Danio rerio: one gene and its partners. The main gene of each other region encodes a partner of the protein of the gene in region 2 in a complex. Links are inferred from orthologs where the notes say so. Each region holds a gene or a part of one and is shown on either strand. Other genes may lie near its edges.

Region 1 (3,758 bases), on a different chromosome or scaffold from region 2:
TAATGGAGCGCAGATATTACAAGTCCCCTTAGCAACATCTGAAAAAAAGAGAGCATTTTTTTTCTCCAGCTGAACTTGATGCTTATGCAGTTATAGCAAATACGATCTTATATTAAAAAAAAGCAACACAACTGCATTAGTGAAACAGAGACAGTTAGCGTGAAAAAAAGATAGCTGCACAAGTTAATGTGTATGCTTAAATCTAAAACATTTAAAGTATTTAAATATTTAAGTGTAATAAAAGAACAAGTAATGCGTGATGTTTATACACTTTTACCTTGAAAAAGTGGGGAATTGGCCATAATTTTGAAGTCATTGAAGTCGTTCAATTTCTTTTCATTCATTAATTTATTTTCTTGTCAGCTTAGTCCCTTTATTAATCCGGGGTCGCCACAGCGGAATGAACCATCAACTTATCCAGCAAGTTTTTACGCAGCGGATGCCCTTCCAGCCACAACCGATCTCTGGGAAACATCCACACACACATTCACACACACACTCATAAACTACAGACAATTTAGCCTACCCAATTCACCTGTACAACATGTCTTTGGACTGTGGGGGAAACCGGAGCACCCGGAGGAAACCCACGCGAAGGCAGGGAGAACATGCAAACTCCACACAGAAACACCAACTGAGCCGAGGTTCGAACCAGCGACCTTCTTGCTGTGAGGCGACAGCACTGCCTCGCCCAATTTCTATTCAGCTTGGTTTTTTTTAAACTGCGGTCACCACAGATGAATGAACCACCAACTTATCCAGCAGTTTTTTACGCAGCAGATGCCCTTCCAGCCTGAACCATCACTGGAAAACATCCACACACACTCGTTCACACACATACACTACAGACAATTTAGCATACGCAATTCACCTATAGCGCATGTGATGTCTTTGGACTGCGGGGGAAACCGAAGAACCTGGAGGAAACCCACACAACACAGGAAGAACATGAAAACTCCACACAGTAATGCCAACTGACCCCGCCTAGGCTCAAACCAGTGACCTTCTTGCTGTGAGGCGAACGTGCTACCCACTGCGCCACCGCGTCACCAATTTTGAAGTCATTTCAAATGTAATTGCATTAAATTACATAAAATAGGCTGCTGCATAGTTTCTACAACAAATCTGACAAAAAATGCATATAACCTTAGCTTAATGTTCAGTGGAAATGTTTAATTTAAGGTTCCCACTTTTACACACGTTGATCAGTTTAAGATTTGAAAGTGCACTTGTGTGTCTGCCTTTATTATTGATCAAGTGGTAGAGGTTGATATAACATTTAGAATGTAAGTAACATTTAGACTTTAGCAGTACTAAAAATAGTTTTTAAAACTAGTAATAATCGTTCTAAATAATTATTTTATTTTAAAATAATAATTATTATTATAATAATTTAAAATAATAATTATATTATTCTAATAATTATTTATTTTTTGCAGTAATATCAAAGCTAAAACTTAAAACTATGGTATTGAATCTAATTGTAATGTTCCCAAAAAGTACAAGCCATTCTCATAACCATGTTCTTTGTGTGACTGAAATGTAGGCAATGAATGACCAAGGCCAAGGTGAGAAATACACTCTGTCTTTAAAAAAGGGGAGGAGACCAACAGAAACTCAGAGTTTAGAGAATAAAACCGGCTCCTGACCAGGTTAGGTTCATAGAGTAAGTTACCACGGTAACTGACTCTGAGTTAAAGGGTAAAGTCTAGATCGGATACACGGCTGGCCGAAAGTGCGATCTGCACATCAATATAGCAGCATTTTGTTATGACACTGTATAACAATAATGAATATTTGTACAATACTGTGACGGTGGGGTTTAGGGTTGGGCTGGGGGAAGGCGTTAAAAAATACAATTTATTGTATAATTTAATAGGTAACGTAAATTATACCCAGTACAACTACTGTTTCTACATTACTTTGTTGGTTGAGTTTAGGGTTGGGGTGAGGGTAGATGTTAATAAAATACAATAAACGGGGGATTTAATAAATAATATAAATAATTCTCTTCACCTTCCAGCCGTAAACATATTCGATCTAGCAACAACCAAGTCAAAGTTACCTCTCTTTCAGAAACAGGCTTGACTTACCCTGCTTTCTCGAGTTTGACAAACCTGCCATTTTAAAACGGAAAACCCAAAATTTCTCTCATTTCAGGGTTAAACATACTCTGAGCTATTACTTAACTTCCTTTCTGAAACAGGGCCAATATATAATCTCATAAAATATTATATAAATTACTTATGACATATTAATCTTACTCTCACCTTGAACAGAGATTTTGAAGGAGCATCGTGGGCAGGTGATAGTATTCAGCCTGCTGGGTAGTGGAAGAATGTTTCCACATTCAGGACAAAAGTCGACATCTCCTCTAAAACACGACATTTCTTAAAGGAGAGAAAAAAATGTTAGTAACTAGACTTTAGTCACCAATAACAAAAATTAACCATAGTACAATAACACAAATAATATAAAAACATGGTAATTTTAGTAAATCACGTAAGAACTACAAACTCACCATGTTTTGCTACACTACCCATAGTTTATTGGTTTTTGACCAAAACTAGTGATTTAAATCGTTTTTTTTATTAAAAAATAAATTGGAGACTACTATAGTATTGCAGTATTATATATTGTATTGTAAAGTTTCCTGTAATAAATTAATAATCTATAAAAACTACACACGCACACATACGTACATACATTTTTTATATAACGTTAATCAAAACTAGAAACTTACTTATAAAAGCGCCAACACGGCGGTCTTAAATATTACCAGATGCAAAAATCTTGCGATATGTACGCTAGTTATAGTAACAAATACAAACCAAATACAAACTTCTCTACAAACTGAGAGGTTTTTACTCAAGGCAGTTCCACATGTTGGGGTCCTTCGTCAAAACAGTAGATTCGTCGCGAGTTGATGACGTTGTAGACAATCTATCTGGCAGGTGCAGTCAAATCCAACTGCTTCAAACAGTGTTTCGAGGTATTTGCGATTATTTAATACTATTAAAAACCACAATCGACATGAGAAGTGATAATACACTTTATATTCCGTCATAAAACATTCAGCAATGTAATGTCGTAGTGTTTTGACCACACGCTGCCTATTTTGGGCTAATGGATTAGCTAACTAAGTGCTAATGTGTTACGTCTTAAATCGTTTGTTAGTTTAAAGCGACATAACTGATTAATTACGGGTGTGTGGGCTAGCATAAAACATTATCTATGAATTAAGTTTTTTTTTGCTATTGTAGTGCTGGAGAATGGGGTTTTATTCTTTAATATATTGTCTTGATTAATAGTTGTTGAAAAGCTACAAGTCTCTAGCTTTTGTGTATATATTACACAAACAAATATAATCGAATACAATTTAAGCAAACACGCTTTTCTAAATCACGTGTATGTCAAAATATTGTGTTCCGTAATCAATTAATTTTGTTTGTTTATTTATTTGTTTAAAAAAAAAAAACTTCTGGCAAAAGGAGAAATTTGTTCTGACTGTGGTTTCACTGAATGATATTGTAGTGTGTGTCTTTTTATCATGGTAAAACAAATTTAATGATATTTCATATTTTTTTTCTCAGAAAAAAATAACAATTAAATAGGACTAATGTAGAGCTGGGCCGATAAACGATATTGTATCGAATTGCGATACAATTTATGTCACAACAATGATAAGCTCTGGACCTTTTTACTCTGTATTGTGTATCTATATACTCTAAATCTATATTACACAGCAGAAATGTGCA
Region 2 (3,658 bases):
AGAAAATAAAGAAGTGACAAACCATTCCACATGATCATCCAACTTGAAAAGGAGCTTCATGGCCACAATAATGACAGCTACAGCTTGAACATCATAACTCAAGAGATGAGGCTTCTTATCAGTGGGGTCAAACGTCAGAAAGGAATCGCTATCCATACCAGCTCCAGTTATAACCTTCTGGACCCAAACATGAAGAGCATCTAAAATGAACATGCAGAGTCAGGAGTGTATCAAACACACACAAAAAAAAGAGGATTATATGGGTTGGATAGATTTGTTTGAAATCCATTTTCATAATTTACCACAACGTCTCCACTACAGTGAAAAAAAAAACACTCACCTGGAAGGTTTGCCTCTAGCAGATAGCGGACAGTGAGTGGAACTGGGTGGAAAAGACAATCCTGAGAAATTGTTGGGAAGGACGGCAACTTCATGATCTTTGCCAGAACTAAAGCTTCTTTTTTGATGAACGCATAAGATGGAAAGAACTAAAGAAGAGAAGTTGGTATAGAATGAAACACATTGATTCATGAGTGGTGAAGTGAGAACTGTTTATATGTTCCTCACCAGAACCCGAAAGATTTGGACATCTTTCCCGAACATTCTCATCTCTGCTGGAAATGTTTCGTGAAGGTGCAAGTAAGGAATATGGCCTTCTGCGACCATCCTGCAAGAAACAGATGATTGCAAAATCAGATGTCTTTCTTGTTATTTATTATTTATTAAACATTAGGTCATTACTGATAATACATCTAACATGAACTGTAATGAAACGTGAAATGTGTCATTATTGTTTATGATTTACATTTTTTGTTATTTGGTTTTATTTTGTACATGGTTTGATTTTTGTTGAATGAATTAAGTTATGGTTGGGGACTAATTATGACACAGAGATTACGGAGCCTACCGAATATATGGCATGTATAGTAATGCACATGAAGCAAAGCACGCCAGGCATGGAACTCTAGGTGAAACACGGCAAAAAGGCACGGGTAAACGGCTAATTCACGGATTCCCCATTTATGAGTTTTAGCTCTTTCTTAAGGGAAAATAAGGTAATTTGATTTATTTAATTTGTTTAAGATTAATGTTTGATTTTTGATGTTGGCTTAGTATTTTAATTTTCGTGTTTCATTTGTGTTTGATAGTTTGTTTTTTTGTTTTCTCTATAGTTCTTACAGTGATGCATTCATGATGCAATGTTGTGTAATGGTTCTATGGAATTGGGCCAATAAATGAATCGTGAACCCAGGGGCGTAGATTTAGGGTGGACGGTGGACGTGTCTTCACCAATATCCACAAACTACTGAAATGTCCCCACCAATAATTTAATTCACTTAAAAACATCGCGCTGTCAGTATAAACCTAGACATGCCGAAAGGGTTAAATCACGTTCTCTCCTCAAGTCGCACCGCCCCCAAACACATATGAACATTGTGATTGGCTGTGCCTTTCCCTGCTGTCATGTGAGTGGCTGCTTTCAGATCATGGTTTCAGATACAAACTGCGCCAAAACAACTGCGCGGGGGGGAATTTCCCGATGTGTGAGGTGTGTGCCTCGCACAAGAGAGGATGGAGGTAGCAAGAAAAGGTGGATATAAAGAGCTTTTTCCAACGAAAAGTGTAAGTCACATAAACTCAAGTTCGCTTCTGAATGAGTCCATCATGATAATGCCGTTATGGTAGTGTTTTCACCGCTTTTACGTTCAATCTAACGTTAAAACAGACTAACGTTAGTCTGTAAACAATATTCCCTGAAAACTAACTGCAGAATAAACACCTACATGTAAACGTATGACCCTGCCAGTTCTCCTAATCTCTTAGAGTAACATCTCCAATTTTGGTTGAAACAATTTGTCAGAAAAACTACAGCCTGTGCTCCATCTTTTAATAATACTATGAGACATGTTTAATTTGTACGAAAAATGAACGAAAGTCTTTATTAAACTCTCACTTTATCAGTTAATAAACATTATTTTAACATAACACTTTCAGGCCTGTAGCCAGTTTATTGAAAAGGGTTATTTGTTTTCTGAAAAACTGAACCTTTTTGCAGTTATTCACCTGATTTTCTGTTTAATTGAGGTATAAATATGACATTTTAGTGACATATTAAAAACTAATTTTTGCTGGATAATCTTGTTGGATAGTTATTACAACTACACTTTTTGATGTACCAAAAACTATTTCCTACCATTTTGTCAAATTGCTTTATTCACACATTTAAACTGTACGTTTTATTACAGTTTTATAAATAATAAAAATACTTTGAACTAGAAATTAGGACTTTACATTCTTAGAATAAAGTAATGAAGTACAGTACAGATGCCAAAACCTCTAAATGCCATGTAAAATGAGCATTTTTCTCAGCCTTGTATATTTATGTTGAGTTATTTTACTTTAAAGGCAATGAAAAGAACGTATTTGTCACTATAAAAGTAAAATCCACACACAGGAGTTGGAGAAAAATTATAATTTTAGAAGTAAATATTAAATGGCATTTAGAGGTTTTTGCATCTAAACTCTTCAAATATGCAAATATACTTATATTTAAAATACAATTTTTTATCATAATTTTCTTTGGGAAATCTGTTAAAATTTGATTTAAATTAAAAACTGAAGCCTATGGGCAAATAACAAACTGGCCGGCGCATTCAACCTTCCTGAGTGAAAATCTGTCCATTTGAATAATAAGAAAAATTCAAACATAATAATAATAATACAACTTTTGGTCTTTCAAACTACCTGACCCCCCTTGGCTATACGCATGACTATTTCATTTAACTTAATAAATTGTAAGAAGAGAGGATTACTTAATAATACATTTTAATAGCAGTTAAATAATAAATAGCAATATATATATATATATATATATATATATATATTTAAAAAAAAAAAAAAATGTATATATTCATTCTTGGGGGGGTGACTCGTCCCCAGTCCCCACCAATGTCAAGCGCAAACCTACGCCCTTGCGTGAACCATCAGTGAAAGACTTAATCATCTTTTAACCAGGATGCTACATGAAAACAAAAAACTGTGGTTGCAAATAAATAAATAAAACGTCACTGGGTCTGTTATGTTTTAGAAGTGTCAATGTCATTTTGCATTGCTCCAAAGTCCAAAGGTAGCTATTAAGTTCAATACTGAAGTATGCACTGTGCTTCTGTGTTGGTAAGTTTTGGTGCGTTAATCTTATAAACACAATAAGTCAAAGGGTCATGAACGACATTCATTAAGTAATTGTGTTATATTTTTTACTTCACATTCTTCTGGAAATTTATTTTGAATGGTTATATTTACTGAAGAATGTGAAATAAAAATATAACACAATTACTCAATGAATGAGGATCATGACCTTTTAAGGTCCATATACAGGGCTTAAATTGTGCCGTAACACGGCACCTTTGAAATCTGATCAGGCACCTCATTTTACCGACAACCCTCTACACTTTCATCCACAACATACTCCACTCTTCACTTTCATCCTTCGTCTGCAACCCGACCACCATTTATTATAATGCCTGTAGGTACTGCCATTCTTTGTTCAGGATTTGTTTACGTACGTGAATTTGTAAAGTATCACAAGTGTGAAGTATCACAAGCAATGAACTAAAATTCCACTGATTTCCTGACATAAACTTTGCATTTCAGGATA
Region 3 (3,758 bases), on a different chromosome or scaffold from region 2:
AACACCAAAACACATTTTTTGAGCTGTTGACAGTCATATAAGTGTCCCACACTGCTAAAAACACTATTAAGACACATATATCTCACTAAAAAGTGAAAATTGGTTGTTTTTGCGTTATTTCTAGCTAATTCGTACTTCCGGTTTGTAACAATTTTTTTAAGCTGCGTCACGGCCATGAGATCTTAGCGTGTATTCCAGCGTGTAGACTGGACGTCTGTACCTGGGAGTGTCTTATTACGTCTATAAGTGTGCTGCATTAATGCACGAGTAAGATTCGGTTCAAACCAATCAGCGCACTCTATTGTGCAACTTCACTAACATTCATTAATGTTACAGTGTTCAGACAGCAGAGACGCCACATTATGTTGGCAAAACAAGCGTGAAGGGTTGCTTTTATAATTTGCTGCAGTGAAGGTTTTGTTTTCATTTTCTCTGTATGAGCGCACAGCTGGACCACGTGTGGATTACAGTGCATGCGACAACAATGCATGTCTAAGGAACTTTTTTTTTTTTTTACCCGAGAACTTTTCTCATCTGGAAATGGTGAGATCCGGATTTGCCGCTCGTCTCCTCTTAATAAAGACGCGGCTCTAGTTGGTGTTGTTTGTCCTGTCTCTACAGATTTGATAAGGGAGCGAACAGTGCCCTTTGCTTTTTCAGATGGCAAAGTTAGTTTGTATCGAACTAACTGTTACACGGAGTGTGAACATGTTAGCACCACAATCAAACTTACCATCGTGTAGGATTTTCACTGCATTTTGTGACAGGAGTAACACACACGACTTTCTGACCCTACCTGCCGAGTGCATCTAAGTTATTGAGAAATTCAGAGGTTTTTTTTCCCTCATTTGCTGTGCCGTATCAAACATTGCATGAAAGATACAAGCTTAGAGCAGTTCCTCAAATCAAATACCTCGTTTGTCACGAGGGGCATGAAGATATTCCCTGAATAAAAGAGCCAAACTGCAGTTAATGTCCACCATTTAATAATTTGTCAAATAATTTGATTACTGATGTCCACGTAAACACAGTCAGTCTTTCTCCCCTGTGTGTGTGTGTGTGTGTGTGTTTTGACTCTGAAAATCAGCACGTGCCCAAAATGACACTCCCATTTTTATGCAAATTTTTACAGAACCCTCTTTAATTTGCTCCTCCGACACTCCCTCCTAAACAGAGCTGGACACGCCCACTTTCCTGACTTTTTCCAAAGTAGAGGTGTGAAAACACCCTCTGAAACAAGGAGGTTTCATGGCCCTATAAGACTGAATGGCTTTTTTGCATAGCCAATTGTAAGTACATTATCTTACTTATAACATGGCAACTTGCCACAAAAGAAAAAAATCAGACAAAATAATGATCTGAGCCATAATAATTAACTAGCAGCACTTTTTTTTTAAATGAAATTTAGTGCTGTGGGAATTACTTAAATAACAAGGTGCTTTTCTATGTGCCTGTATGACCAAAGATTAGAATTCTAATTAGAAAGATGAGCAGTCTTTATTGTCCACACATGTGGAAATTCATATTTGGCCTCACAAAATGTTACTAAACATCATATGGCTTCCTACACCATGGATTACCAACACACAACCCTGTTTCTAAAACCACAAACAGATTCACAGTGTCACAGAACAACATATAAACTACTTCATGGTCATTTGTTCAATATAGTCATAGCTGATGTATAAAAGATTTCCTTAAAAATGTTTGTTTTAGCTGCAGGTGTTTTTCAATTATAAGATGTATTTCACATAGTGCTGGGGGAAAATTAATCGTGATTAATCGCATAAAAAAATGTTTTTTTTTTTTTTACATAATACGTGTGTGTATTGTGTATGCTTATTATGGACATATAAACATAAAGATGCATACATTTAAGGAAATAATTATTTATATTTACATATAAAATATATATGATGCAAATAATAAATTTTAAATATCTATGCAAAATCTATACCTTTATGCATGAGTGTATTTCACATACACAATAATTATATAAATATATATAATGCACAAGTATTGCTTATGTCAAAACAAACTTTTATTTTGGATGTGGCTAATCACAATTAATCTTTAACTTAGAGTCGTTTTTCAGGTTTTTAATAAATCTGTTTAAATTCAGTTTGGTTTGATGCTTGTATGTAAGGCCAATGCTGGCTTTATTTTGTTAATAATAATAGTAATCTGTATAATAACATTAATCATATTAATCTGGCAAAATTCGTGCTGCCAGTCAACCGGTCCGCATGAGCACCCCAAACACAATATTTTGACTAAAGTTAGTAAAGAGGACTAGTAAGGAGTGCTTTACTCCTTAGCCAAACAAACAAATAAATAAATAAATAAACAAACGAATTTAGGACACATTTTAGTTTCATAAACGTACCCTTCTGTATACTCCGCTTGAAGGAGACCCAAATACGCCTCCCATTTGTTCCCAACAATTTTCCCACAAGTGAAGCAGCGAACAGGGATGATCATGATGAAGGACGAGTTGCCTGAATTGAAAAAAAAATGTAGAGGTTTATTTAATAACACACAAGTTTGTGCAATTCAGACTGCGTAATAACGAATACAAGTAACACAAAACTCAGTAACTTAATAGATGTTGAGCTATAAATGTACACAAGAATGTAACACTGAAGCAGTCTACAGCAACATACAGTAACACTGAATACGTGACAGTGCGGTTCAGCTCGAGATTATTTCCTTATATGCGAACTCAAAACTAAACCCCAAATATTACACCCTCTCATTTTGACTAAAGAAGCGAGCAAATTAGAAAACATTACCAAAACAATCTCGCACGCTACACACGTTCCTCTTGCGCGGCTTATAACAGATAGACTTCCGTGTTGCGTCTTTCTAACACGCTCGGGTGAAAACAAGGTTATAGGAAACGTTCCGTGAAGCGAAATGAGCAACATACGAAAACTTTCTTCTTCTTTTGTTTTAGTGGCGGGCTGGTGTTGAGAAAACTCCTTCAAAATGTGTGAGGTATAATCTTTAAAAAGTAAAAGTAAGTAAGCAAGAAAATATTTATTTATGTAGCACCTTTCCTAGACGTTGAGTAACAAATAGCTTTACAATTAGAGAAAACAAGTAAAAGAACACATATCAATAAAAGAAAACATGTTAAAACACATTAAAACAAGTAAAAAATCCAAATACAGAAACACTAATACTATGAATTAAATGCTTGACCAAAACAATGCGTCTTTAAATGCTTTTTAAAAAGATCAACTGATCCCAGAGTTCTCAGTGCTATAGGGAGAGAGTTCCATAGATCTTGAATATATTGGGGTGCTTGACCATGCAAAGCTCTACATGTATAACACATATTATGCACATATAATGCTAATAGCAATATGATTATTATGTATATCCCAAAACCATCTTATATTTTAGCTTTTACAACACTTCAGAATAAGGGCGTCTTATGTACGCTGTAAAAACCAAGCAGCAACCTCCGGCTCTCCATTGGGAAGCCAATACAAAATACATAGACTCTCCTCTGGGGGCTTGCTCCAGCAACTCCACATGTTCTCTGACTGCAATGCTAAACTGGCCAATTTTACAGCTGATAAAAACATGTTTAAAGCCTGGTACAATAGATGGTTTTGGTGCTTATAGCTAATACTACTCTTCATGACAACTGTGAGGGGCTGAATTTTTTTATTACTCATCCGTTTAGCATTTATTAGGTTTAATTAAGTCTGCATAATTAAGGGAGTGGCCACTTGAGTGTCTTTTGCTGG

The links.
Region 1: taf1b (region 2) and polr1h share a complex: the UniProt entries of both Homo sapiens proteins name them as parts of the pol I pre-initiation complex. The link is inferred for Danio rerio from reciprocal best matches to the Homo sapiens genes TAF1B and POLR1H.
Region 3: taf1b (region 2) and polr2l share a complex: the UniProt entries of both Homo sapiens proteins name them as parts of the pol I pre-initiation complex. The link is inferred for Danio rerio from reciprocal best matches to the Homo sapiens genes TAF1B and POLR2L.

The regions. Positions count from the first base shown.
Region 1 is NC_133194.1:29,753,696-29,757,453, forward strand, and holds the start of polr1h (DNA-directed RNA polymerase I subunit RPA12), read right to left. Parts: upstream 2,910-3,758; 5' UTR 2,869-2,909; exon of another isoform or gene 2,744-2,868; intron 2,391-2,743; 5' UTR 2,389-2,390; coding exon 2,271-2,388; intron 1-2,270. UniProt on the Homo sapiens protein: Core component of RNA polymerase I (Pol I), a DNA-dependent RNA polymerase which synthesizes ribosomal RNA precursors using the four ribonucleoside triphosphates as substrates. Can mediate Pol I proofreading of the nascent RNA transcript.
Region 2 is NC_133195.1:32,278,962-32,282,619, forward strand, and holds part of taf1b (TATA box-binding protein-associated factor RNA polymerase I subunit B), read right to left. Parts: intron 668-3,658; coding exon 568-667; intron 489-567; coding exon 341-488; intron 201-340; coding exon 23-200; intron 1-22. UniProt on the Homo sapiens protein: Component of RNA polymerase I core factor complex that acts as a GTF2B/TFIIB-like factor and plays a key role in multiple steps during transcription initiation such as pre-initiation complex (PIC) assembly and postpolymerase recruitment events in polymerase I (Pol I) transcription.
Region 3 is NC_133182.1:13,341,494-13,345,251, forward strand, and holds the start of polr2l (DNA-directed RNA polymerases I, II, and III subunit RPABC5), read right to left. Parts: upstream 2,867-3,758; 5' UTR 2,793-2,866; intron 2,499-2,792; 5' UTR 2,482-2,498; coding exon 2,387-2,481; intron 1-2,386. UniProt on the Homo sapiens protein: DNA-dependent RNA polymerase catalyzes the transcription of DNA into RNA using the four ribonucleoside triphosphates as substrates.